Rattus norvegicus: one gene and its partners. The protein of the gene in region 1 purifies or fractionates together with the protein of each later gene. This does not show direct contact. Links are inferred from orthologs where the notes say so. Each region holds a gene or a part of one and is shown in the gene's direction. Other genes may lie near its edges. The genes, in order: Abi1, Eps8, Nhsl3, Brk1, Eps8l1, Nck2 and Nck1.

Region 1 (4,015 bases):
TGCATTACTTAAAAAAGAATAGGAAGGCATGAGAAAAGAAATTAGAAGAGGAAAGTTCTGAAATTATATATTTAAAAATGTACACACACACACACACACACACACACACACACACACACACACAGAGAGAGAGAGAGAGAGAGAGAGAGCGCTAGTCTTTTGCCATGGAGTAGTGTGGCAGTCAGAGGGAAAACTGTAGGAGTCTGCTGTTTTGGTCTCCCGCCATATGAGTTCTGGGGTTTGAATTGAGAAAGCACCTTTATCTGCTGAGTCATATTGGCAGCCCTAAAATTGTCTATTTTAAATGTTAACATCCTCGCATTTGTCCATCCTTCATTCTCTGTCTTAGACATGATCACCCTTTATAACCCAGACTGTTTTTCAGTTCATTGTCAGTTTCCCGAGTGCTGGGATAATGGATGTGCAGCCACTCTTCATTAATTTTTTTCCCTGTCCTGAAATTCGGTTTTAAATCAGGCCGGCCTTGAACTCAAGTAGATCCATCGCCTCTGCTAGCCATAGACGTTTGCGACCACGCCCAGCTTTCTTTAAATTCTTTTTTAAAAAAGGATTTATTTATTTACTTTCTTTAAATTCTTAAGCGTGAAAACTATCCTTGCCCCATTTGTTTCTGCCATAGCAAGCACACTGCTTGATGTACATCTGAGAATTGATAGTTTTCTAGGTTTTAAATGAATTGGGGCATAAGTTGAGGCAAAGTCTCTCACAAAACTGAGGAAGTCAGGTCTCGCAGTTTCTGTTTTTAATTGTTATCTGATTGGATGCCTTTGACTTACTGACATTTCCTAATTAAGTAAGTTCTGCAAATTTTCAAAGTTTTCTCATAGGAATAATTTCGCTGCTTAGATCACCTTGTGGCGCCATCTTCTGGGATCTTGAGAAGAGTCTAGATTTAAGACTGTATAGGTCTTGGTTCTTTAAATTCTTTTCAGGATTTTTGGAAGCACCTTAAACGCATGCGCGGCCTAGCCAGGAAGAAACTACAATTCCCAGAAAGGATTGCTATAGAGGGCGTGGTGGAAACTCTCGTTGTAAGAGGGAAATGATTCTCGCGAGAAAGTGAGTCTATGGTGGCTGTGCGTCCTGGGTGGAGGGGGGCGGGGAGAGTAAAGAGGAAGAGGAGGAGGTGCAGTCCCACAATACCCGGCGGAGGGCGGGTGGGTGGTTAGTGTCTGATCTCTGCGGCGCTTCGGTCCCCGTCGGACTCAGCTGCCTCTGTCTCTTTAACGCGAGAGGAAGCGATGCGGAGGGGTGGAAAATGGCAGAGCTGCAGATGTTACTAGAGGAGGAGATCCCGTCTGGCAAGAGGGCGCTGATAGAGAGTTACCAGAACCTGACCCGGGTGGCGGACTACTGTGAAAACAACTACATACAGGTGAGGCGCTTGGGCGGCCGGCGAGGACCGCTGGGGCGACGGGCAGGCTGGGTGCGGTGGGAGCTGCCCCACTCCGCCACCCTCCGCCCTGGCCCGAGCAGCCGCAGCCGCGGCGATACAGGAAGTGGCCGCCGCGAGAAAATGGGTGAGGAGCAGGGCCGCCCCGGGCGCCGCCGGCCCTGAAGCCGCTCCCCGCGTGCCCAGCCGGCTGCGCTCCCGGCAGCCTGCCCCGGACCGGCGGCGTTCCCCGCCGCCTGCCCGTGCAGTCGCTCCCCAAAGCCTATCCTGGCCGAGCTCTGCTTCTCTCAGCCTGCCCGGCCCAGCTCTGCTCCCCACCACCTGCCCTGGCTGAGGTTTGCGCCTAGACCCCGGCGGCTTTCCCAGGCCGGGTCGTGCTCCCGGCAGTCTTTCCTCCGGGGCTCCACTCGCTGCAGTCTTCTCTTGGTCGGGCTGTACTCCTCGTTGCCTCTTTTGGCTACTGTTGGTCCTAAGACCCCCCTCAGCCTTCCCTGGCCGGGATCGGCCCTGGCTGAAGTCCTCCTGGAAATCCCGTAGCCTCCCTTGGTCGCTTTGGACCCCAGAATTCTCTGTCGCCCCTGAGCCCAGTGTGATGAGATCCGGACAGCTGCGTGAGGAATGGGCAGGGAAGGAAAAGCGGGGTGTGTGTCGTTGGAGGGTTGGGTGGGGTGGGGGTGATTATGTCAGTTCATCCTAGAGGGTGTGCCTTTTATTTATTTAAAAAAATTGTCACGAGTCACGTTTGTACAGTGCGGGGAGTGATTGCTGAGGGTTTGATAAAATTCATCTTAAAATTCTTTTAATTGGAGGAAATCTGCGTACTTGGCGATTTTCAAGTCCGGCTTTTCCTCATATTTACTTCTGCTTCAGGATAATGTATACTGGTTATTATAAAGCACGAATGATTCATAGGGAAATTCAGTGGGAAATGTCTTAAATACTTCTCTTCCTCCAAATGTTCTTGGACTGTTGCCTTTGAACGCAGTAGTGTCATCGTTGCTTATGTTCTGAGATTTCTATCATGAGTTAATATTTAGAAGAGTATGAATAAAGTAGGTTGGCAAGCATTATTTAATCTTTGGGTCATAACGTAAAATTGCTTCTTAATTTATCAGGAAATTCTTGGCACTTTTACTATGCTATGCGTGCTTATGTTTAGTAGCGATTGTAAGTGAATTGTATGCAGTGGTTTGGCTTGTAGTTCCTGTCGTTGTGTAAAAACTAACAGTTTGCAGTAGAAGCAAATGAAGTAGTGGAATTCTTTGTATCAGATACTGAGACTAGAAGCTCACTTCCTGTTGACAAGGCAAAACCTGAAATCTTTGAAAAGTTAGGGTTATTGTACTTGAGACCTGAAGGATTTCTGAACGTGCCTTGCGAGTGTGCAAGGGCCTTCTGTGCTTGGGGATGCCTGTACACTTCGTTTTCAGAGGGAGATGCTGTTTTGAGGCTTAAGTATTTGCCACTTTCCATATTAGTAACATTCTGTCTGGAGTGGTGTGCCAAGGAATTTGTCTTCATGCCTTCTTTTCCAGCCTTTGACTCTGGTAATCTGCTGATAAACTTATTGAATGCCTCCTGTGTCTTCTGTATGACTTGTTTCTGAAAACTATATATGAAGCTGGTTAAAAACACATTTTAGGGCTGGGGATTTAGCTCAGTGGTAGAGCGCTTACCTTGGAAGCGCAAGGCCCTGGGTTCGGTCCCCAGCTCCGAAAAAAAGAACCAAAAAAAAAAAAAAAAAAAAACAAAACACATTTTAAGGAGCAGAAAGGGTGCCTTGACAACTGTTAAGAGCAGTTGGTGCTTTTGCAGAGGACTCGATCGAGTTCAATTCCCAGCACCCTCATGTTGGTTCACAACCATCCTTAACTACGGACCAGGGGATCCACTGCTTCTTCTGACACCTTTGGGCTTCAAACACACGTTCAGCATACATACAGACACACAAGCACACACATATACACATGTAGGCAAAGATACTCAAAAGTAAAATAAGTCTAATATGTTAAATCCTTTAAAAAATGGTACAGAAATATGGATATAGTGTGGAAATAGAAAAGTGATCTTGTATTTTATAGATACTAAAAAATGTACAACTTTGGGCTGGAGGGATGGCTCAGTGGTTAAGAGCACTGACTGCTCTTCCAGAGGTCCTGAGTTCAATTCCCAGCAACCACGTGGTGGCTCACAACCATCTGTAGTGGGATCCAGTGTCCTCTTCTGGTGTGTCTGAAGACAGCGACAGTGTACTCACATGCATGAAATCAATCAATCAATCAATCAATCTTTTTAAAAATGTACAACTTTTATTTATTTTAGTGTGAAAAGCCTTGAGTTTGTTGCATCTTTGGTTCCCATCCCTGAATGAGGCCGCTTACAACCACCTGTAACTCCAGCTTCAGGGGATCTAACACCTTCTGGACTACCTGAGGACCTGCAGGAGTTCATAGACACATCTACACATAAAAAGTGAACAGACACACAATTTAGAGCAACCCACTTTAATTGGTAATAGTGCTGATTAGGATAAGGAGTTGTGTCATTTCTTTTTCTTTGTTTATAATGTTTGTGTGTGTTTTCAGTTTTAATATATGTGCT
Region 2 (4,209 bases), on another chromosome or scaffold:
TTTTCTTTTCTTTTTTTTCGGAGCTGGGGACCGAACGCAGGGCCTTGCGCTTGCTAGGCAAGCGCTCTACCACTGAGCTAAATCCCCAACCCCGAGGAGGAGTCTTACTAGTTTTTCTTTTTTTAATCTCATACACATTCGGTCTCCACTCTAAAATGCTTATCCCACAGGTTCTCTGCCTTCTCCCCTAATATTCTCAGAGACAGGCACCTATGACACATTACCAAGACAGGGACGGGCTTTCTTCTTCTGTCTTCTCACCACAGTTAGACTGTGGACAAAGCACCTCAAAATGGCTCTTGTCCGATGGATTGTCTTAGCACCAACTTTACATCTCCCAGTCCCTCCAAACCTATTCACTTATTTACTTACTTTTATTTTCTGTGCATCCGTATGTATATGTAGGGGATATCTGTGTACATCTCTGTGTGGAAGCCATAGGTAGCCAAGGGTTATGTCCCTCGGTTGGGATTCACTGTATTTTCTGAGGCAGAGTCTCTTACAGCCAAATCTAGCTGATTTGGTTAAGGTGACTTCTGGATCCCCAGGGATGCACCTGCTTTATTGCCTCACACTGGGGTTACAGGTGTGTACTGTCACACCTGGCATTCAAAACGACAAAGAAAAAAGGTTTATTTAATTATATATTTGTTTTTAGGTGTGTGAGTGTGCATGTGTGTCTGTGCACCGCACGCATGCCTGGTGCCCTCAGAGGCTGGAAGAGGGCATTGGATCACCTAGAACTACAGTTGCAGATGGTTATGAACCAGCGTCTTGTTGCGGGGAACCAAAATTGGGTCCTCTATAAAAGTAGCCAGTGCTCTTAATTACTGAGACATCTGTCTAGCTCCTGCCTGGCTTTTAAAATGTCAGTTTGGGGTCAAGACTAAGGACCTCATGCTTGCCTAGCAAGGACTTTATTGACCAAGGCATCTCCCCATCCTGTGTGGCACCAGGGCCATTACGTACAGCAGGGTACAGTAGCTATGTCCTGTTTGCAAAGGAAGGCCAGAAATCCTGTATCATCTTAGTCCCGTGAGTATTTCCTTCGGAAGCAGTCTGCTTCAGGAGACATGGCACCGATCCGAATGTAGATTTGAACCGTATATGTTCTTATATGTCATCTCTCATTTGAGTCCTTAAATGGTCCCTCTCTGCCTCCACACCACCACAGCTGACCGCGTTTGCTCTGTGTCCATTGCCTTGGCCGCTAGATCTAGCTTTGACTTGGCACCAGATGATCTTCTTCATCGTAAGAGAAACCACATGCTTACTTTAAAGAAAATACTTTATTCTCATGTGTTTGTGAGGGTGGGTTCGTGCATGTGGATGTACTACCCGAGGATCCCAGAAGAGGGCGTCACATCCCCTGGAGCTGGAGTTACAAGGTGGCTGTGAGCCTCAGGGTTTGGGTGCTGAGAACTGAATCCAGGTCCTCCACCAGGCCAGGGAGGACTCTCAGCCATTAGTCAAATCTCCAGCTGCCCTGTACATACATATTTTATTGTACCTGCATTTACTTTTCTGTGTTTCTTGTACAAAGCCTTTCTTCGTTAGCTCATCTAACCACCATATTGCTGCACCTCCCCCTTGGTTACTCATTGACACCCAGTTCCTTAGACTCTGACTCTTCAGCGTAAAAGTGGCCATAGTAACCACATCTAGCACCCAGACAGCTCTCCATCAATGCCTCTCATTGTGCTTTGGTACTCTGTCACTCTCCACACCTTGGGCAAGCACTTTACCTTCTCAGCAGTGGCTATTTCCTCATTAAAAAGAGGAGGAAGTCTTAGCTAAGGCCGAGAGAGTCCAAAGGAGAGACTTTGTTGAGTATAGCGGAACATCGAAACTGAAGCAGGGTCCCTCCCTCTCGGTGTATGAACCAAGGGTCACTGGACACGTCCGAGAGCAGGGAGCGGTGCTCTCTCAGTCTTGCCTTGACGGTCACTTGGAAGAGTTTTACCTGAGCACTGCAGGAGGGTAAGTTGGAGTTTGTGAATATTTTCTTTGCCAAGGAGGGCTCTCAAAGGTGTAATTATGACAGAAGATGTTTGTAGACCTTAAAAGGTAGTATTATTTTTAGGCCAAGTAGGCCCTTTAATGATTTTTTTTTTTTTTAGTTGCCTTTGAGATTCCTAGTGGCTTCTGAACCCGGTAAAATCTTGGGATACCTTAGTGTCCTCGGCCTCCCTCCCTTCCTGTTTCCTTGCTTGGGGATTTAAAGGTCTTTCTTCTTAAGAGTCTGGTGCTTGCTTTAGGAGAGTAATCTCCCTGTTTACCTTTTAGCTAAGAAGGGATCCGAGAACTATTAATAGTTTGGAAGCTATAGACATAAAATTGACCTAAAATGAATCTTACAGGCAAAACACTTTGATTATGCTATAAATATTAACTGCTTTGAATTGTCTGAACAGTGTTAGTTGTTCTATGAAAATTTGCTTATTACTCAAATTTTAACCTTCATAGGTTATTGTTGGCTCTGAGCCCACAGAGTGAACACCGCCGACCTTCTATGCAAACATTTTACTTGGGACTGAAACTGTAGTTGGATATGTGTGTTTAACGTTTTTGTTTTTAAAATCTGTGTGTATTAATGGAACTTGTAAATATTTAAATAGTCAATTAGTGGAAGTTGTAAAGGAACAACTATTTTTAAAATAGCTAAGTTTATAATTTTGGTATTTTAGTATTAAATTTGAGTTTAGAGGCAAGCAAGACTATCAATGTGTAGGAGTCTCTATATGCCTTTTATTTTTGAGGTTCTTACTGGATTGTCACAATTAATCTGATTGGAAAGGAAACGTTTGCTTCTTGCTCTGTTACCAGAAGTTAAATACAAAGCTAGGATTGACACTAGGTAAGAACAAAGAGGCGCCCAATAGTCCAACAGAGGGCAAAAGTCAGTGTCTGCCTGACTTACTCTTCTGGAGTGGGGCTGCACATTCTTCAGTTTAAGTCATAATATGTGTATGAGAGTGTGTGTGAATGTGAGTGTGTGGGGGGGTATGTGTGTGTGTATGTGCATGTGGGTACGGTGTGTGTGTATGTGTGTGTGTACACATGTGTATATGCATGTGTGTGTGGTGTGTGTGTATATGTGTTGTGTGTGTGTCTGTGTGTTTTGTGTGTGTGTCTGTGTGTGCATGTATGTGTATGTGTGTGTATATGTGTGTGTGTATGAGAGTGTGTGTGTGTATGGTGTGTGTGTATGTGTGTGGTGTGTGTGTAATGTGTATGTATGTGTTTGTGGGGTGTGTGTGAATGTGTGTGTGTATGTGTGTGTGTATATGAGAGTGTGTGTTGTGTGTATGTGTGTGTTGTGTATGTGCTTGTGTGTGTGTGTGTATGGTGTGTGTGTATATGGTGTGTGTTTATATGGTGTGTGTGTGTGCGTATGTGCATGTGTGTATGGTGTGTGTGTCTGTGTGTTGTGTGTGTGTCTTCATGTTGTGTGTGTCTGCGTGTGCATGTATATGTATATGTGTATGTGTGTATGTGTGTATGTGTGTATGTGTGTATGTGTGTATGTGTGTATGTGTGTATGTGTGTGTCTTATATGTAAATAGTGAGCCTGTGTGTGTGAAGAGGTATATGTACATATATATGGATGCAAATGGAGGTCAGAGATCCCTGTCCAGTGTCTACTCAGTCTTATCTTTGGGGGTAGCCTATCTCACTGACTCTGAGATGCGTGGATTCTTCTAGGCTAGCTGGCCAGTCTGCTGCAGAGAACCATCTGTCTGTCTCTTAAGCCCTAGGGTTACGGGTGCACACTGCTGCCTCTGGTTTTTCACAGGGATGTTAGGTGTGAAGCTTGGTCTTCAGGCTTGCTTTAGTAAGCCCTTTATCCGCTGAGACATTCCCCCATCGCCTAAGTGATGCTCCAAACATCATTCTTGTGTGTGTGTATTTTCCTGTAAGGTGTCTATCGTATATAGGCCATGAAGAAGGCTGACAACACAGGCCTTCCTCACATGACCTTCTAGTAACACATACGGCCTTTAGGAGCAGAAAGAACTGTGAGGCTCATGGAGATATTTATGGTATGACTTATTTTTATCTCGGTTATAAACTTTTGTACAAATTCCAAGGCACAATGTCAGTGTCGTGTGGACTTTAAACTCCACGTATTCTCTGAGAAAGGAATGTAAAACATTTTGTTCTTTGACCCAGACTTCTCCCCACTTGAAGGAGGATGTGTGTGTATAC
Region 3 (4,006 bases), on another chromosome or scaffold:
CCTCCTGCTGGGAGCGGCTGGCATTAAGAGAAGACTTGTTTATAAGTGAAAACAAACAGACAGTATTTGCCTTCACAGTTCTGAATGCATGAAGTGCAGACTTACTTTATCCCTTTGCCTGAGGCTCAGCGTGGACAGTAGGTAACCTGCCTGGCCCCCAGGTTCGCCACAGCTGGAAGCCTTGGGGACTTTCAGGGGCTGGAGCAGGTCAGATCACACTCTGCACTGTGGTCCCCTTACAACTTTAGAGTGAGGTCTACTGTGTGCCAGGGGAGATTAGGCTGAGTGATCAATTCCTGTTCGTTTCCTTATGCAGGCAAGGACCAGGAGAAAGCTGTGTGACAAGTGTCAAGTTGATAATGCTAGACAACTCTCAACTCTAACCATGGGACACACAAGACTCTTCCGGGGACCACGGAGGTTTGTTAGCCTCTAGGCAGAGATGAGCTTCAGAATGCTGGCTTTGATCTCCTCCTGGCCTCACTCTCCCTTCTGTCCTAAAGGGAAACATTCCCTACCTTGCTTTCCTCACAGCTTGTAAACTCAGAGATACAAAAGGGCTTGGTCAGCTATAATAAAGCACCAGAGGCCTGCAAGGAAATGAACACAGCATTTTCAAGACTTCTAAAGGTGCTTTCTTACCAGCCTCCCCAGGCACTCAGTAGTCACCTACCTTAAGTCCCACCCTAATTTATCTTAGTTGAGCATCTCCATGGGAAAGCCCGAGTCTTAATATGAGTGCCCTGGGGGAATCACAGCCCTGTTAAGGGTAAACTGAGGCCGGATCATCCCACTCTAGGTGCTCAAGAATGAATCAGGAACAATCAGGAACACAGAGCATTGCTGGAGGCTGGGGCCCCCCGCTGTGGTCCTGAGCCAGGGGAATGCCTGCCACAGGTCCTAGGTATCTGGGCAAAAGTCTTTCCCAACCGCAGGAGACACCGGATGGTTCAAGCCCAGGACCTCGCTGCGCCCTTTCCTGCCTTACGGATCCCAAACTTCTTCAGAGAGACAGATCCTGGAAATTTGGGGAGTGGGGACGAGGAACCCCTTCTCTGCAGCCGGACCTCGCCCTCGGGGCACGGCCGGTGGGGAGGGGCGGTTTGCCGCTGCGCTGCTACCGCTCCCCCCCTGCCCCCGACGGCCGCTCCCGCCGCTCGCGCCCCGCCCGCCCCGCGGCCCCGCCCGAGCTGCCCCCGCCCCCGCAGCTCTCCCTCGGCCTCCGCCGCCCAAACTTTTTTCTCCGGGCGCGTCTCCAGCGGCGGCCGCCCCCGCGCATGGGCGCCGCGCTGCAGGGGGCCTGACCCCCGCCGCTGGCACCGCGCGTCCCCAGCCCCGCGCCATGGCGGCCCGCGCGCCCCCCGCCGCACCTGCGGCCGACGAGCCTGGGAGCCCCGGCGGCCCCCCGCGCAGGAAGAAGTCCCGCTCCGGCCTCCGCCGCGCCTTCAGCTGGCTGCGGGGCAAACGGCGCAAGAAGAAGGCGGCTGGGGCCGAGGGCGCCGAGTCCGCCGCCCCGCGGGCCAAGAAAGCGGAGGACAAGGCCAAGCGGTCCAAGGGCAAAAGCCGAGGTGAGGTGGCCTGGCACCTGGGTTGAGCGCGCCAAGGGTGTGGCAGGGTGGGTCCTCTGGGGTGGGTGGGTGGGGGTCGGCTGTATGTGGACGGCTTGTCCCTTAGGCAGTGGTTTTGGATGAAGTGAAGAGCCCAAGGTACCATAAGATAAGACCTGCGCCGCTCCAGGGACACAGTCTATCCAACTTTGAGGGGCAGAGACCCCTGTCTGGGGCAGGGGTCCCCCGGTTTAAGCAGGAAGTGCTGGCTGGCTGGCCCTCCTGGTGGAAAGACACTTCCCCTCTCCCAGGTTCTGCCCTCTGCTGAGTCAGGGGGTCGGAGATTTGACACTGGCCAGGGGCCAATGGGAGAGGCAGGTGGCCTTGGGTCTTGGAATGGCAGTCTCTTTGGGTCTTTAAGGTCAGCCTACTCAAAAAGGAGGTTTTTTTTTTTTTTTGCCCTCCAGGTAGATCCTGGTTACCAGCTCCACAAAGTACTCAGCGCGGAGTCCTTTGCCTTAGGTTGTTAGCAGTGTTAGCTTTTCCCATCTCCACACCCCACACCCCCCTTACCTGGGCCAAACCACAAGCATCCACCTCCTGAGTGGTGAGATCACCATCCTGAACCAGAGGCCGCTCCTCCTCTCTCAGTACTCTCCCTAGTCCCCGTAGGAACCTGCTTGTGTTGAAAGTGGGGAAACTGAGGCGCAAGTGAAATGGGCTCTCCAGGTGAACTCCAGCAGCCCTTTCCGAGTCTTTGGAAGTTTTGAGCCCATGGCTCTCCCTGGAACCTAAGGGATGGGAGGCCCGAGAAACAGAAACGGGAAGGAACAGGGAGTCTTCTATCCCTGTTAAGGTCACTGTACTTTTGGCCACTTGTCCGGCTTTCCCCTCATCTCCTGCTTCTACCTTCGGTTTGGTAGGGAGACCTTTAGTCTCTGCTAGAGGGTAGAGAGGCCAGCCGCTGCTGAAGTTTATCTTTCCTATACCGCCAAGTTAAAGTGTTGAAGGTGAGGAAGTGGCCTGGATCGGGGCCCATTCCAATCTAGCTGTGTTTCCCTTCGGTGTCCTTTAACTACCTCTGGCAAGTTAGAAAGAACGTTAGGGGTCAGGAAGAGGGTGTAAAGCCTCTTGTATGATTGCATCCGGCCCATCTTCCTTTTGGAAAAGGGCCCCGCTCCCTTGCAGCCCAGCCACAAATAGAAATTTGGGCGCTTAGATTGAGATGGATGGGCCAAGCCCTGAGGGAAGGTTTGCTTGGGGTGGTGTTTCCAAGTGTTCTCCAGCCCCTAACTGGAGGGGAATGTGTCCCAGGGCTCCCCACTAGAATTCAGGGTGAAGTTATACCCCTCTGACACAGAGAGCTTGTGTCAGAAAGGCAGCAATACGGGTTGTGGTCAGATGGTCAGGCAGGATAGTGGTTGAGTGGGCTATCTTAGGGAGGTGACTCTCTTTTTCAGGTGACCAGCCTGGAGGCAGAGGGCTATAGGGGTAAGTTAGTACTTGAGCCTCCTAGGGTTGGCAGGTCAGCGGCCTAGCCTCCTGTCTTGTGTTTGGTATTGAGTAGCACTGGGATTTCTGGGCAATAGGCTGGCCTCACAGAGTCCACGTGCCTGGGTGACACCCTCTGCCCTGAGCGGTTGTCTTTCCGAGGCTGCAGGTGGCCGCAGGTACTTCTGAGGGCAGCCTGCTCCCTTTTGCTCCAGCCTCCAATTGTTCAGATTGTTTCCCTGTCACCTGCCTGGGCCAGCTTCTTTTCTGTTTATTAAGAGAAATAAATCCGATCTTTCTAATCTCCACTGGCCAGGAAGGGGAGGCTGGAGGCTTAACTCTTTCAGGGCAGATGACCATCAGAACGGAGACTGGGGAAGGAGGGATCTACTAGGAGCTTTTCTGGAAGGACTGAGAGGCCTTTGTGGGAAGCTCAATGGGTCCGCCACAGTCTCAGAACCAGAGATCGAGAGACACAGGTCTCAGCTCCCCTTACTGCTCTTCTGTAAACCGGGAGATGGTGCTTACAATGTGATTTTGAGCTGCAATCTCCTGTGCCCCACCTCCCTTCCCACACTCTTCTTCCCCTCATAGCCTTAGCAGAAAGGAGGAAACCTGACATTGATGGATTACTCTGAATGTGTCAGGAGACTTACATTCATTTCCTCACTCGATCCCATTTGCAGAGCTGGACGTAGTGGCAGCACACCGCCAGCATTGGAGTTGCTGAGGTAGGAGAATACATTTGAGGCCAGCCTAGACTACATATCAACACCTCTTCTCAATGGGGGTGGGGGTGGGGGTATCCCATGGGGCAAAAACCCTGAGGCTTAGTGACGGCGAATGACTGATTTGACAAAAACTCAGATTGATATTCACAGTCAGATGCTTCAGAAACCAACATGATTCTTCAGAAGACACAGAGGGGAGGCTCGAAGGTCTCACGCAGCCCACTCTACAGAGAGGCA
Region 4 (4,160 bases), on another chromosome or scaffold:
GTTAAGGTTTCCAACACTGTGAAGAGGCACCATAACAAGGAAACGCTTAGAAAGTCAAACATTGAATTGGGGCTGGCTTACAGTTTCAAAGGTTCAGTCCATTTTCATCATGGTGGAAAGCATGGTACCCAGCAGGCCAACTTGATCTAAAGGCAGTCAGGAGGTGGCTGTCTTCTGCAGACAGCCAGGAGGAGGCTCTGATTCCACACCAGCCAGACTTTGAACACTAGGAAACCTCAAAGCTCACACCCACAGTGACATGCCCACTCCAACAAGGCCACACCTCCTCACAGAGCCACTCCCCATGGGTCAAGTATTCAAACATAGGCCAAACCTATTGAAACCACCACACAAGGGTTGACTCCACCTTTGTTTAGCTTTACTGCAATTACTATAGCAGGCACTACCTCAAAGCCCAATTCTTAGGGTTAAAGTATTTCTCTCAGTCTCTTGAGTGCTGAAGTTACAAGCATGCGCGATGACCACTTCCTTTAACGATTTTCTTAATGACTCGGTGGAAAGGTTAGAGATTGCTTTTGCAGTTCTTGATAGAAATTGCTCTAGTTTACACTGAGACTTACCATTTTGCTTCAGCCTGTCCATCGCTGGGCATTAGCATTAAAAATGTAGTTTGCTCATTTGGTCAATATGGAGATTCAGAATCCGTGGGATGCCTCGATTAATAAAGACACTTGCCACCCGAAAATGGAAGGCAAGGAACCAACTCCTGAAAGTTGTCCTGTAACTTCTGCTTGCGTGTTGTGTCACATGTACGCTTACACACACGTAATATGAATAAAAATTTTAGCATGGCGGTGGTGGCCCACACCTTTACTCCCAGCACTCAGGAGGGAGAGGCAGGTGGATCTCAGAGTTCGAGACCAACCTGGTTTACAGAGTGAGTTTAGGGACAGCCAGGACTACACAGAGAGATCCTGTCTCGAAAAACAAACAACAACAATAACAATTTTAAAAGAAAACGAGAATGAGCAGAGTTGTGACCCAAGCATGAAAAGCATCTTGAACGGGATTTGTGGACTGTGGCCAAATCTGCTGACAAAGCGCAAGAAAGCTTGGAGCAACCCTAGGTGGAGGTAGGAGCGTGTGGGCGTCCCCTAACGACAAGACCCGCTAGTGATCAGCGGGTTTGTGCAGGCGGGGACAGGGTAGCTCTCAGTCTTCACAGTGCGAGTGGAGGAGCCTTGTTTTCCCCTGCGTGGGAGCCAAACTGGAACGGTGAAGACAGTTAGTCTGCGCGTGCGCGCCTCAATGCCAGGACTTTCTGGGGCTCGAACACTTGGGTGCCGGCGGCAGCGCAGGCGCGTTGGAGGCCTGTGGAGGTCGCGGCGCCTGCGCAGTCACTCTTCCTCAGGCTGCCGCCATGGCGGGACAAGAGGATCCGGTGCAGCGAGAGATTCACCAGGACTGGGCGAACCGGGAGTACATTGAGATCATCACCAGCAGCATCAAGAAAATCTCGGACTTTCTCAACTCTTTCGGTCAGCGGGCGAGCAGGGGAGGCTGGGAGGAGGGAGGCATCGGAGGCTGCCGGCGGCGCTCAGGAGAGGCGCGCCGTGCCGGCTACTCGCTTCCTCTTTCGCTCCCTGCCGGCCCCAGGACCCTCACCCTGAGCCTCACTAGGCGGTTTCCGTGGGTCTACCCTACCCATTGCCATGCCCCGCTTGCGCACGTCAGCGCGCCCGCTGCCCAGCCTCTTAGGCCCATCCATCGTCTGACTTGGTTTGCGCTGCCCTTCCTTGCCAGTCTGCACTTGGCACGCAGTGCGCAGCCGTGTCACAGTCACGAATACTGTTAAGAGACTCCTGATAGTTCTCCATCTCCTTCAGGATCAAGTCGGAAAGCCCTTAGTGCCATGCCTTCTATTGCTCCCGTTTAACCATTCCCCTGCCGTTCATTCCCCCAGCTCCCTTTGGTTCTAGTGATGAGGGTTGTAAGGGATGGGGCCCTGTCGGGTCTTGGAAATGCGTTTTGTAGCCCTGTATCTGCTTCATAGTAGGTGTTCTGGGTGCTTCTGTCTGGTTCCTCGGGTTTAACAGGGCAGATTGCTTTCAGCAGAGTCTACTTTTCCAAAAACTATTCCTAGGTGTGGCCGGCTGCTGACAGTCTTGATTTCTTTCTGCATGTGTTCCTAGCCTTCTGGACTGAAAACCTGTCACAGACTCCTTACGGTCTCCGGAAGGGTTCCTTCAGGAACTTTCTTACACAATACAAGACGTGCAGATGGCATCCAGTGATCTTTTTCAACTAGAGTACTGTGGTTCTACTAATTAGCAACTTTCAGCATCTTTGGGAGAGTGCTGTATTTTGGAAAGTAAATTAAAATGAGTCGATTATTTTCTAGCTAAAGACCTGATGAGTCCTAAGTAGTATAATGGAGGTGACAGAGCAGAATGATGTAGTTCAGGTGTTGGGCTCCTGAGTGGCAGGCACAAGACCCTCCACTCCTTAGAAAGTAAAGAGTTTTCTCTTTTTCTCCGCCCCCCCTTTTGGGTGTTGTTGTTGTTGTTGTTGTTGTTGTTTTGTTTTGTTTTTTGTTTGTTAAGAAAAGAGAACAAAAAAGAAGGCGGAAACGCATCATTAAGCGACTAGGGATTCCCTGTCTGTAGAGCAGTGGCCCTGCAGGCGCACACTGTGCCTCTAAGTAGCAGCACTCAGGAAGCAGAGGCAGGAGGAACTCAAACTCATCTGCTTTGTAGAAAGTTTGAGTCCAGCCTGGTAGAACAAAGCAAAAATCAGCAGGGGTAACTGGTCCTTACACAGGTCCTGCTGTATTTGGTGGCTCGCGCCTGTGCTCTTAGCACTTGAGAGAGGAAGGCTGGAAGAGTGTTATGCATCTGAGGCCAGCCTGGTCCTCAGAACAGCCACAAAAAAGGAACCATTTTCTGGGGCTCTAAAGATTGCTCAGCTTCCAGAGGACCCAGGTACAAATCCCAGGACCCACGCTGCAGTTCGCAACTGTCCATAACTCCAGTTCTAGGGGATATGACACAGACATATATGAAGGGAGACTATCAATGTAAAAAAAAAAAATCCATCTTCTGTATTCAAAGGCGTTCCTTCGGTTGGGGATTTAGCTCAGTGGTAGAGCGCTTGCCTAGGAAGTGCAAGGCCCTGGGTTCGGTCCCCAGCTCCGGAAAAAAAAAAACAAAAAAAAAAAACAAAGGCGTTCCTTCAGGTTGTTGAGATGGCTTGGCAGGTAAAAGCCACCAAGTCTGGCAACCTGCATACAATCGTCAGGGTCTACAAGGTGAGAGAACCAACTGCCACACGTTGTCTTCTGACCCCACAACGGTACCGTAGTACATGCTCACACCCACCTTCAAATACAGCATAAAGAAGAGATCTTAATCTGTCCATCCATCCTCCGTCTCCCCTACTCCATTTTGGTTTTGAGTCTTGGAAATTGCTAGAGCTCTAGGTTCACCGTGTTCAACTTTTTCTTCCCTTCCCCTCCTGTGATAATTAGTCTATCACTTTATGCTGGCCTGGAACTCTATTGATCAAGGATGTCCTCTAATTTGCGATGCCTCTTCTTGGCTCCGCTTCCCAGGTGCTGGGATTAGAAGTGTACTTACAAAATGTGTAGGGCTCCATGTAAGCTTACATGGATTTTCTCAACGGGGAACGGAGGTTAAAGATTAATTAGTGAGGGAGTAGCATAAATGTGTCAGTGCCATAGCCTCACACCCGTAAGTCACTGTGGAGGCTACGGTAGAGAACTGTAGTCAATAAGAGTTCACGTATCCCCAGAAGAAGCCGATTTAAGAAGTATAAGAAAAAGAATTCAACTCCGTGGGCAAGGCAGGTGGGCTCGCAGTTCAACCCTATGATGCAGATTCAAACATTTCGAGAACTGATCATTTGTCCTGCCGCCCATAGTCTAGTTTCCCTGTGGAGGTTTTCTGTTTTGGCCCAGGACCTTGTGAATGCTGGAATCAACTCCACCCTAAGTTGCACTTGCTGGGCGTGTGCTTTCTGTGTAAATGACTTCCATGTTTGGTCCACGTAGTTGATTTCTCCTACTTTGCCAGAGAACTGGAATATTTCACTTTTTTATTTAAACAGCATTCCTTATTGAAAAACATCCCCTCAAGTAAGAATCAAATGAACTGACAAACATTCCCTCAAGGAAGAATCGA
Region 5 (2,609 bases), on another chromosome or scaffold:
TGGCTTAACTTGAGTTTAAACCTAGCTGCATAGAGAATATTCAGAGTGACCCTGACAAGGACTTCCAGGGCCCAACAAAGTTACACCTTCCTTTTACTACTACACCGTACCTCAGTTCCTTCCCTATAAAAAGTGAAATAATGGCCATATTCTGCTACTGAAATCCTGTCATCCCTGCTACTCAAAAGCATGAAGCAGGAGGATCGAAAGTTCTGGGCCTACCTGGACTACAGAGTGAGCTCAAACGCCAGCCTGTGCAAAGTAGCAAAGCCTTGCCTCGGAAAAAAAAAAAAAAAAAGAAAGAGCCTGGAAGGGGCTAGAGAAATGGCTTAGTAGTTAAGAGCCCTAGCTGCTCTTCCAGAGGACCAGGGTTTGACTTCCAGCAGCCATACATGCAGCTCACAACCATCTGTAACTCCAGTCTCAGGGGATCCAACACTCTCTTAGGTCTCTGTAGGTACCAGGCACACAGGTTATGCACAGACCTATATGCAGACAAATACATCTATATACACAAAATAAAACAGAGGGCTGGCATGTAGCTCATGGCATTTGCCTATAATCTACCAGTAAAGGGTTGGAGGCTCAGGAGTAGAGTGACTGCCAGAGAAGCTAGTAGTGAGGGGTTGGGAGTGTGGCTTAGTGGTAGAATTCTTGCCTAGAATCCACCAGTAAAGTGCTATGGCCATGGCTTACCTGTCTGGGCTGTGGCTCAGAAGTAGAATACTTGCCTAGAACCTACTAGTAAGGAGCTGGTGCAATATCTGCCTGACATACACAGGATACTGGGTTCAATGCCCTGTACCACACATAGGGTGGAAGGGAGATAATAGTGAAATCTCTGGAGGAGGAAGGAAGTAAAGTGGGTCTGCATTTATGGGTCTACAGGCTAGCTCCGGGAGAATCAGATGGAGATGAACATGATTGGCATGCAGTGCAGTATAAGCATATGCATTGGCGATTGTTTGTACCTTGCTCGTTATCCTAGTGGATGATCAGTATAGATCTGTTGTTTCTAACTATCTGCTCTGAGTTTCATTATTCTCATAAAATGCAAGTGAGGAGCTGGAGAGATGGCACAGAGGTTAAGAACACCCTCTACCCTTACAGAGAGGACCTGGGTTCAGCTCCTGGCACCACATGGTGGCCCACAACCGGCTGTAACTCCAGCACTAGGAAGCCAGCTCTGTGAGGACCACACGTAGATGGTGCACACACATAAGTGCAGGCAAAATACACACAAATAACATTAAGAACAAAAAAAATGCAAGTGAGGACCGGGAGTGTAGCTCAGAAGCACTTCCTTAGCATGCACAAGGTCCTGGGTTCAATCCCCACCACCCCATAAAGAATTAAACAGTAATTTTATCATGTTTACTGCATGATGCCAGGCAAGGAAATGAGCCAACTATATTCAAGCTGTGACTCCAATGTCAAGTCTGTATTAACGTATTAACCTGGGACCCTGCTCTGGCCTCTGCTTGGCTCTAACCCCAACTCATACTAGCAATTTATAATCCAGACCATCGAGGCTAGCTACCTCCTTATCTCCTACCCGTTTCACTCTCCCTAGTCATCAAGATCCAGAACTGGAAACTGAGTCCCAGCTAGAAGAGAAAGCCAGAAAATGGGTTCTGTGTAATTATGACTTCCAGGCCCGAAATGGCAGCGAGCTATCTGTCAAGCACCGAGATGTGTTGGAGGTTAGTGGTGTGGGGGCCTGAGACCCTGGAATTGGCCGGTTCTGCATAGACTACACATAGAACCAGCAAGAATTTTCTGCTTATTTCCCATCTAGGTCCTGGATGACAGGCGCAAATGGTGGAAGGTTCGGGACCATCAAGGACAAGAGGGCTATGTACCCTATAATATCCTGACACCCCACCCTGGACCTCAGGTGCACTGCAGCCAAAGCTCCGCAATAAACCTAGTAAGTCAGCATATTCTTGCTTCTTCAGGGAAAAGTGGGGGCTAGATTCTAGGTCCTGGGGATGGGGACGGAGAAAATCAGGTGTGAAGGGTACTTCTTGGAGAGTGGGGTGTTCAGTTTATTGAGATAGGGGCTGGGAGCCTTATCTCTCTCTCTCTCTCTCTCTCTCTCTCTCTCTCTCTCTCTCTCTCTCTCTCTCTCTCTCTCTCTCTCTCTCTCTCTCTCTCCTCTACCCCCCCCCCCCGCCCTCTTCATTCCCTTCCAGGAGACTAGCCCACCTCCTCCCCCACCTGCTGCAGCTCCAGCCCCCACTCAGGTGCGGCCCCAGTGGGACAGTTGCGACAGTCTAAACAGTTTGGATCCCAGCGACAAGGGTAAGTAGTGGAGAGTCTCTGGGAAGTGATCCTTATCTTCACTTTTCCGACTCCACTCTGGGCAGGCTAGAGACTCCCGAATCCCTGGCTCCAGCACCCTGAGTGCGCACTCCCTCCCTTCACGATTTCCCTCCTGCAGAGAAATTTTCCCAGATGCTTTGTGTCAATGAGGAGCTGCAGGCGCGCCTGGCGCAGGGCCGTTCGGGTCCCAGCCGGGTAACCCCGGGGCTTCGAGCCCCGGAGCCCCAGCTCAGCCCACGCTCTGAGGCCTCGGTGGTCCGTGCCTGGCTGCAGACCAAGGGCTT
Region 6 (3,500 bases), on another chromosome or scaffold:
GTTTGCTCAAAGGAGACCCCATGTCCAAATCCACATGCCCAGCCTTTCTGGCCTCGCTGCCTGCCTTCAGGTCTAGGAAGCGTCTGCATTTTCTTCTGCTCTTTCCCTAGCACTTAAACATCCCACTGCCTTAAACCAGACAATTGGTTTAGCAGTTCACCTCCTGGAGGGTATCTTTGGTTATTTCCCAGTTTGGGCAATTTGAATAAAGAAGTGAATATCCAAGTATTGCTTTGTTTTACGGTATGATTTTATATTTATAGGAATAGTTCTGTACAGTTATTTATGCAGGAAATTAGCCCCTAGCTAATTTCTCCAGTGTTAACATATTATATTGAATTGTCAAAACTAGCTAGCCTGGGCGCGTCGCTGTTGTCTAGGCTTTGTTTACATTTCAACAGTGTTTTTACAAATTTTCTTGGTGTATTTTACCATCCATCTCCAAATACCTCAGTGCATTGGTAGTACATTAATTGAATTTGAGTTTATAGGAGTGGTTTGGGTGTGTTATATTTATTAAATATCTTCAAAATCCTCAGCATGTGCTGAAAATAGGAGTGCAAACCTATCAGCTGTAAGGGCGGTGTCACTTGCCAAGTGAGCGCTTTAATCATGAGATTATTATTCTGAGTGTTTTGCCCCCAAGTTCGCATCTAGCGTCAGTAAATGCGCAGTGTGCTTAGTGCACTGAGAGGGGCTGCAGGCTTTGATTACAAGATGCTGTTTCTCAGCAGCACTAGGGCCTACGGGTAGGTCATTCTAAGGGCAAGTGCTTCAAGGGGCTGAGAGGAGACCGGGGGCAGTGTGGCCATGGGAGCTGTCGTTGACAGCTTTTCAAATCTGTCAGAGGAGAGGGGTTCAGGTAGCTAATGAGCATCTTTAAATGTTTTGCTGGCAGAAGGGCTCCATGAAAGATGACAGAAGAAGTCATTGTCATAGCCAAGTGGGACTACACTGCCCAGCAGGACCAGGAGCTCGACATCAGGAAGAACGAGCGGCTGTGGCTGCTGGACGACTCCAAGACGTGGTGGCGGGTGAGGAATGCGGCCAACAGGACAGGCTACGTGCCTTCCAACTACGTGGAGCGTAAGAACAGCCTGAAGAAGGGGTCCCTGGTGAAGAATCTCAAGGACACGCTAGGTGAGTGTCCATACCCCACCTGGAATAGCAGGTCGTCCCACAGGAACAGCCAGGGTTAGCACTGCTGCTTCAGTGTGCGTGTGCGTGCATGCGTGCGTGCGTGCGTGCGTGTGTGTCTGTGTCTGTGTCTGTGTGTGTGTGTGTGTTAGATACGTAGTGTGTGTATGCATGTGTTGTGTGTGTGTGTGTTATGTATGTAGTGTGTGTATGCATGTGTAGTGTGTGTGTGTGTGTTAGGTATGTAGTGTGTGTATGCATGTGTAGTGTGTGTGTGTGTGTTAGGTATGTAGTGTGTGTATGCATGTGTAGTGTGTGTGTGTGTGTTAGGTATGTAGTGTGTGTATGCATGTGTAGTGTGTGTGTGTTAGGTATGTAGTGTGTGTATGCATGTGTAGTGTGTGTGCGTGTGTGTGTGTGTGTGCGTGTGTGTCTGTGTCTCTGTGTGTGTGTCTGTGTTAGATACGTAGTGTGTGTATGCATGTGTAGTGTGTGTGTGTGTGTGTGTGTGTGTGTGTGTTAGATACATAGTGTGTGTATGCATGTGTTGTGTGTGTGTGTGTGTGTGGTAGGTGTATAGTGTGTGTGTACGTGTTGTGTGTGATAGGAATGTGTGTAGTGTGTGTGTGTATGTGGCTGTGTATACAGTGTGTTTGTGTGTATGGAGTAGGTATGTATGTATGTTATGGGGTGTGTTATATGTGGTAGGTGTGTAGTGTGTGTGTAGGTGTGTGTGTGTGTTAGATATGTAGTATGTGTTTGCATGTGTAGTATGTGTGTATGTGTGTGGTAGGTGTATAGTGTGTGTGTATGTGCTGTGTGTGGTAGGAATGTGTGTAGTGTATGTATGTGGCTGTGTATTCAGTATGTTTGTGTGTATGGAGTAGGTGTATATGTTGTGGGGTGTATATGTATGTGGTAGGTGTGTAATATGTGTGTGTGTATGGTAGGAATGTGTATAGTATGTGTATGTATGTGGCTGTGTATTCAGTGTGTTTGTGTGTGTGGAGTAGTTGTAGGGTGTGTTGTATATGGTAGGTGCATAGTGTGTGTATAGGTGTGTGTGTATGTATGTGCTATGTGTGTGTATGTGTAGTAGGAGTGTGGGTAGTGTATATATGTGGTGCCTGTGTGTGTGTGTGTGTGTGTGTGTGTGTATGTGTATGTGCTGTGTGTGTGTATGTGTGGTAGGAGTGTGTGTATGTATGTGGTGCATGTGTGTGTGTATGTGTATGTAGTGTATGTGTTTTGGGGCCGGTATTAATGTTGATAGCCTCCTACCTTCTGGGGTTTTATATTGAGATTAAGATAAACACTAATCATTCTCTGGATAAATTATACAGTTTGGGATCTTGGGTAAATCAACTCCTCCTCATGGTGCTAAGGACCCCTACACAGCTGTCTGTCTCCTTGTATCCAGACAGTAGAGGACCCTGACTTAGAATCATGACAAGTTTAGTAGCTTTTTCTGTCAGTGTATCACCTTTTATCTTACAAATTCCCATGCTGGCCTCTGCACACAGAAGGAGAAGGCACTTCTCCCCTCGTCTTCGGTGATAGCATAGTTTATTCTACAGTTTCGGGCAGTTGGTTAATGTGTAGTTGGGGTGATTAGAAACATGACATCAGAAGTCTCTCAGATGGATACCTCCATAAGCCCTGTTTGGTTATCACATTCTTCATAGCTGTGCCTCTTGTCTTCCTCTGGTATATTAGTTCATTTCCTGACACTGTAACAAACTGCTTGAGGTTAGGCTATATAAAGAACACTGCTTAATTTGGCTTACACTCATGGTCCAAAGTCAAGTGGCTGTATGTATATCTCCTTCTTGGCAAATTTTCAGTATGGTACAAGTTCCTTATGGCAAGAGACCAGGAGGGATAAAGAATTGTATGTGTGTGTTTTTGATACTGTTCCCTCTGTAAACAGAATTTATGCAACTGCTATCACCCAAAGGCCCCACTTCTAACCACTGTTATAGGAACCAGTTTCTTCTTTCTTACTACCTCTGTAGGGGATTAAATTCAGCACAAGGTAAGGAGATACATTCGAACCCCAGTAATCCATAGCACCTGATCAGACAGGGGTTCGCTACCTCAGTGGTAGGGAAGCATACCTGAGTGTGTACATTGTCCTCACCAACCATGGTTACTGCCTCAGATTGTCTGAGAATATAATTGGGAGGGCTCTGTGGAAGGACAACTGAACTGAGCTGACAGTTTACAGTTGCTGCCTCCTCAGGTAAAGTATAAAGTTGTCTATAGGCAACAAGGCCAGCTCGCCACTTGAGGTTTGTTGTGGAAGTAAGCCAGTATCATCACCTGGGCTGAGTGTATGTAGGCTTTTTTGTGTGTTACTGGAA
Region 7 (3,500 bases), on another chromosome or scaffold:
CTGGGATTACAGTTGTGTGCTGCTGTCTGGCGTTTTGATAGGTTCTGGGGCATTAGACTCTTCCTCCTGTTTGCAGAGCAAGCACATTGCCAATTGAGCCGTCTCCTCGGCCTTTATTTTAACTGACATCGTATCATGGCAGTAATGATTTACACTCTGTGCTGAGGTCTTTTCAGACAGTCGAGTTGCAGTAATACAAGTAACCTCCCCCCCACCCCCCACACGTTTTTCTGCTCATCTTTGTTTTTCTCATGGTTCTCAAACCCGTGGGGCCTTGTGCATTCTGGGCACGAATACTACCACTGACCTGCTACATCCTAGCTCATCAGTGTTTCTTACAGAGCATGTTGTTTCTTTTTCTTTCTTCTTTTTTAAAGCATCTTTGTTCACTTAAGTGATTCCCTTACAAAGCATAAAACAATGTGTGGCAGATTTTGAGGCTTTTGCAAATCCTTTGTATGTCTCTATCTTGTTGACATACTTGTGCAAAAGGAAGTTGGATTCTGAATTAAAGTTAATTTTCTGGATTAAAATTAAAATTCTAGATTAAAGTACTTACTTCATTGTTGAGAAAACAGACCTGGTATCAATGCCCAAGACAAAAGGCTGAATTGGCTTCCTTTGTGAGGCATATATATCTGCTTTTATGAAAGGAATCTCTCCGAAGAAAGCAGAATGAGATCAACTCTAAAATAGTTTCAAGACAGCCTTTGAAACTATTATTGCAACTATATGTTATTGAACTATTATTGAATAATAGTTGTAACTATTATTGAAACTATTTTTTCTTTTAAAATAATGTGTATAAGCCAGGCAGTGGTGGTTCACACCTTTAATCCTAGCACTCAGAAGGCAGAAGCAGGTAGATTGATGACATTGAAGCCAGCCCGGTCTACAGAGTGAGTTCCAGGATAGCCAGGGCTACACAGAGAAACCCTACCTCAAAATACAAAACAAACCAATAAAAAAAAAAACAAACCAAAAATCCCACCAATCAATCTTTCAATCAATCAATATAATTTCTTCTTGATTTTAGTAGAGTTTTCCTGTAAAACTTTCTTTCTTTGGTGTTGATGTTATAGGAAGACTTGTTAATACTATTTTTCATACAGTTTCATCATTGTATTTTATTATCTTCAGATTTATTTATAAAGTTGTTTGTGTTACTATTAACTTTGACTGTTTTGCAGTACACAGTTGTAGCTCCCGGTATTTACATGTACTTTTTCTTTGTTTTATTGATTAATATCTCCAGAATTGTCATTTTAATTAGAGAGAGGACTGGAGCTTCACCTCCTGAGTGTTACACACTCTTCTACACTGGGCAATGGCTGGCAGCCCTGACTCTGAGCCATCTCCTTCATAAATTCTTTTGCCAGTTACATGAAAGTTGAAAATAATTTTTAAACCAGTTTATAAAGTAATGGGCTTCATTATTCCAATTTAAATATTTATTTATTTATTTATTTTTTTTTGGTTCTTTTTTTCGGAGCTGGGGACCGAACCCAGGGCCTTGCGCTAAATATTTATTTTATTTTTAATATTTTTAATTTATTTAGTGTGTGTATGACAGAGAAGAAGGAGGAAGAGGGGGGAGGAGAGAGGGAGAGGGAGGGGAGAGGAGAGGAGAGATGGAGTTACCAGGGGTTGTTAGTTACCTGAGGTGGGGAGTCTGAACCAAATCTCAGTTCTCCGGAAGACAGGAAATACTTTTAACAGCTGAGCCATTGCTCCTGCCCTTATTACTGAATTTTTCATACACACATATCAGTGTACTTGGTTCTCAGTCCAGAGAACAACATGAAAGGGGTTAGACTTTTGAGATATGAAATGTTGTCTAAGTTAGCCTCGGAGTTATGATGCTACTACCTTAGTCTCCAGTTGCTGAACTTACAGGCTAAAACTTTCTTTAAAGTTTTAGCTCATACTGATGGTATCTATGTGTTCCATATATGTTCTTTTGTTTAGAAGTAACACTTGACATGCCTGTTATATCTCACTAACAGTGTTATTTTATAACCTTGATGCTTTGTCTCCTTGATTGTTTAATTATTGAGATAAGTATGTTAAAAATAATCCCTCATAATAATGGATTTGTTATTTCTCCTGTAGTTAGACCACTATATTTAAATTTTGTACTATATAACTTATATGGGATAGAAAAGTATTCAGAAAGCATCTATGTTATTTGTTACATACAAGTTTGATTTTATCCACATTAAGAAAAATGTTCAGTTGTTTGTGTAGTGAATTTCATTGCTAATGGTGGTTTTAAATGTAAGTTAGTTTATATAATACTAAATAGGAACAAGTGCTTTTTAAAAATTAGTATTTGCCTGTTGGCATTTTTCATATCACTTTTAACTTTTTGATGTTCTTAGATGTTTTTCTTTTTATAGTATTGGGAATTGAACTCAAAGCTGTGCATATTCTAGGCATGTTCTCTACCACTAAACTACATGCAACCCCAGCCCCCGTCTCCTGTTTTGTATATTATTTTTGAGACAGGGCCTTACTCTGTAGCTCACTCTAGCTTCAAACTTAGTGTGTAGCCAAGGCTAGCCTCAAACTTATGAAAGTCCTCTGGCCTCAGCCTTTTGAGTGTTAGGCTTGCTGGTATGATTCATAATTTCTGGCCTCTTACATGTTTAGGCATGTCTTTTTGAACAAGCATGTAGACAGTTACACTCCAGCAACATTTAAACACATTGTCTATGTGTTACAGTGAGGCTGCTGAAACATGGCTGAAGAAGTGGTGGTGGTGGCCAAATTTGATTATGTGGCACAGCAGGAACAAGAGCTGGATATCAAGAAGAATGAGAGATTATGGCTCCTGGATGACTCTAAGTCCTGGTGGCGAGTTCGAAATTCCATGAATAAAACAGGTTTTGTCCCTTCTAACTATGTGGAAAGAAAAAATAGTGCTCGGAAAGCATCTATTGTTAAAAACCTGAAGGACACCTTAGGTAAGTGGTTTCCTATTGGAGGAAAAGCAACAGCTTTCATTTGAGATGGATTTTGGAACTTAGTTCTTTGAACACAATCCATATAGCAGTATGCAAAGTTGTTTTATCTAGACAATGTAAGTTGAATTCCTAACAGCTGTTTAAGAGGCAATGACGATCATGTTAGCTGTTTATATTAATCTAGGCCTGCATTCAAATGGTACTAATGAGCAGAACTAACTTTGACCTTCAGACACACCAGGGAAGGCATCGGATCCCATTACAGATGGTTGTGAGCCACCATGCGGTTGCTGGGAATTGAACTCAGGACCTCTGGAAGAGCAGTCAGTGCTCTTAACCACTGAGCCATCTCTCCAGCCCAACTTTGGCCTTCTTACAACAGCTCCTGTGGAGTTTCGATTTGCAAAAAATTTGCCACTAATTGAGAAAGGGAAAATGAATGAGATTCGCAATTGATTCTAGGCTTCCTGGTAATTTATGTTACATGGCACATTACTGAACTTTATTGACATGTTAATGAATTTCCCTTAAAAA

What was found.
Region 2: the proteins of Abi1 (region 1) and Eps8 purify together in Homo sapiens (affinity purification with western blotting; 4 studies listed by BioGRID, with this or other methods). This does not show direct contact. The link is inferred for Rattus norvegicus from reciprocal best matches to the Homo sapiens genes ABI1 and EPS8.
Region 3: the proteins of Abi1 (region 1) and Nhsl3 purify together in Homo sapiens (affinity purification with mass spectrometry; 3 studies listed by BioGRID and IntAct, with this or other methods). This does not show direct contact. The link is inferred for Rattus norvegicus from reciprocal best matches to the Homo sapiens genes ABI1 and NHSL3.
Region 4: the proteins of Abi1 (region 1) and Brk1 purify together in Homo sapiens (co-immunoprecipitation; 3 studies listed by BioGRID and IntAct, with this or other methods). This does not show direct contact. The link is inferred for Rattus norvegicus from reciprocal best matches to the Homo sapiens genes ABI1 and BRK1.
Region 5: the proteins of Abi1 (region 1) and Eps8l1 purify together in Homo sapiens (co-immunoprecipitation; 4 studies listed by BioGRID and IntAct, with this or other methods). This does not show direct contact. The link is inferred for Rattus norvegicus from reciprocal best matches to the Homo sapiens genes ABI1 and EPS8L1.
Region 6: the proteins of Abi1 (region 1) and Nck2 purify together in Homo sapiens (affinity purification with mass spectrometry; 3 studies listed by BioGRID and IntAct, counting the BioPlex papers as one, with this or other methods). This does not show direct contact. The link is inferred for Rattus norvegicus from reciprocal best matches to the Homo sapiens genes ABI1 and NCK2.
Region 7: the proteins of Abi1 (region 1) and Nck1 purify together in Homo sapiens (co-immunoprecipitation; 4 studies listed by BioGRID and IntAct, with this or other methods). This does not show direct contact. The link is inferred for Rattus norvegicus from reciprocal best matches to the Homo sapiens genes ABI1 and NCK1.

Annotation. Positions count from the first base shown.
Region 1 is NC_086035.1:90,085,028-90,089,042, reverse strand, and holds the start of Abi1 (abl interactor 1), read left to right. Parts: upstream 1-1,215; 5' UTR 1,216-1,279; coding exon 1,280-1,396; intron 1,397-4,015. UniProt on the Homo sapiens protein: May act in negative regulation of cell growth and transformation by interacting with nonreceptor tyrosine kinases ABL1 and/or ABL2. May play a role in regulation of EGF-induced Erk pathway activation. Involved in cytoskeletal reorganization and EGFR signaling.
Region 2 is NC_086022.1:172,215,361-172,219,569, reverse strand, and holds the start of Eps8 (epidermal growth factor receptor kinase substrate 8), read left to right. Parts: upstream 1-1,409; 5' UTR 1,410-1,980; intron 1,981-4,209. UniProt on the Homo sapiens protein: Signaling adapter that controls various cellular protrusions by regulating actin cytoskeleton dynamics and architecture. Depending on its association with other signal transducers, can regulate different processes.
Region 3 is NC_086023.1:146,874,705-146,878,710, reverse strand, and holds the start of Nhsl3 (NHS like 3), read left to right. Parts: upstream 1-1,206; 5' UTR 1,207-1,342; coding exon 1,343-1,568; intron 1,569-4,006. UniProt on the Homo sapiens protein: Able to directly activate the TNF-NFkappaB signaling pathway.
Region 4 is NC_086022.1:148,305,076-148,309,235, forward strand, and holds the start of Brk1 (protein BRICK1), read left to right. Parts: upstream 1-1,360; 5' UTR 1,361-1,381; coding exon 1,382-1,499; intron 1,500-4,160. UniProt on the Homo sapiens protein: Involved in regulation of actin and microtubule organization. Part of a WAVE complex that activates the Arp2/3 complex. As component of the WAVE1 complex, required for BDNF-NTRK2 endocytic trafficking and signaling from early endosomes.
Region 5 is NC_086019.1:78,389,026-78,391,634, reverse strand, and holds part of Eps8l1 (epidermal growth factor receptor kinase substrate 8-like protein 1), read left to right. Parts: intron 1-1,573; coding exon 1,574-1,703; intron 1,704-1,798; coding exon 1,799-1,930; intron 1,931-2,195; coding exon 2,196-2,304; intron 2,305-2,443; coding exon 2,444-2,609. UniProt on the Homo sapiens protein: Stimulates guanine exchange activity of SOS1. May play a role in membrane ruffling and remodeling of the actin cytoskeleton.
Region 6 is NC_086027.1:53,293,979-53,297,478, forward strand, and holds part of Nck2 (cytoplasmic protein NCK2), read left to right. Parts: intron 1-898; 5' UTR 899-914; coding exon 915-1,140; intron 1,141-3,500. UniProt on the Homo sapiens protein: Adapter protein which associates with tyrosine-phosphorylated growth factor receptors or their cellular substrates. Maintains low levels of EIF2S1 phosphorylation by promoting its dephosphorylation by PP1.
Region 7 is NC_086026.1:109,913,248-109,916,747, reverse strand, and holds part of Nck1 (cytoplasmic protein NCK1), read left to right. Parts: intron 1-2,725; 5' UTR 2,726-2,740; coding exon 2,741-2,966; intron 2,967-3,007; exon of another isoform or gene 3,008-3,500. UniProt on the Homo sapiens protein: Adapter protein which associates with tyrosine-phosphorylated growth factor receptors, such as KDR and PDGFRB, or their cellular substrates. Maintains low levels of EIF2S1 phosphorylation by promoting its dephosphorylation by PP1.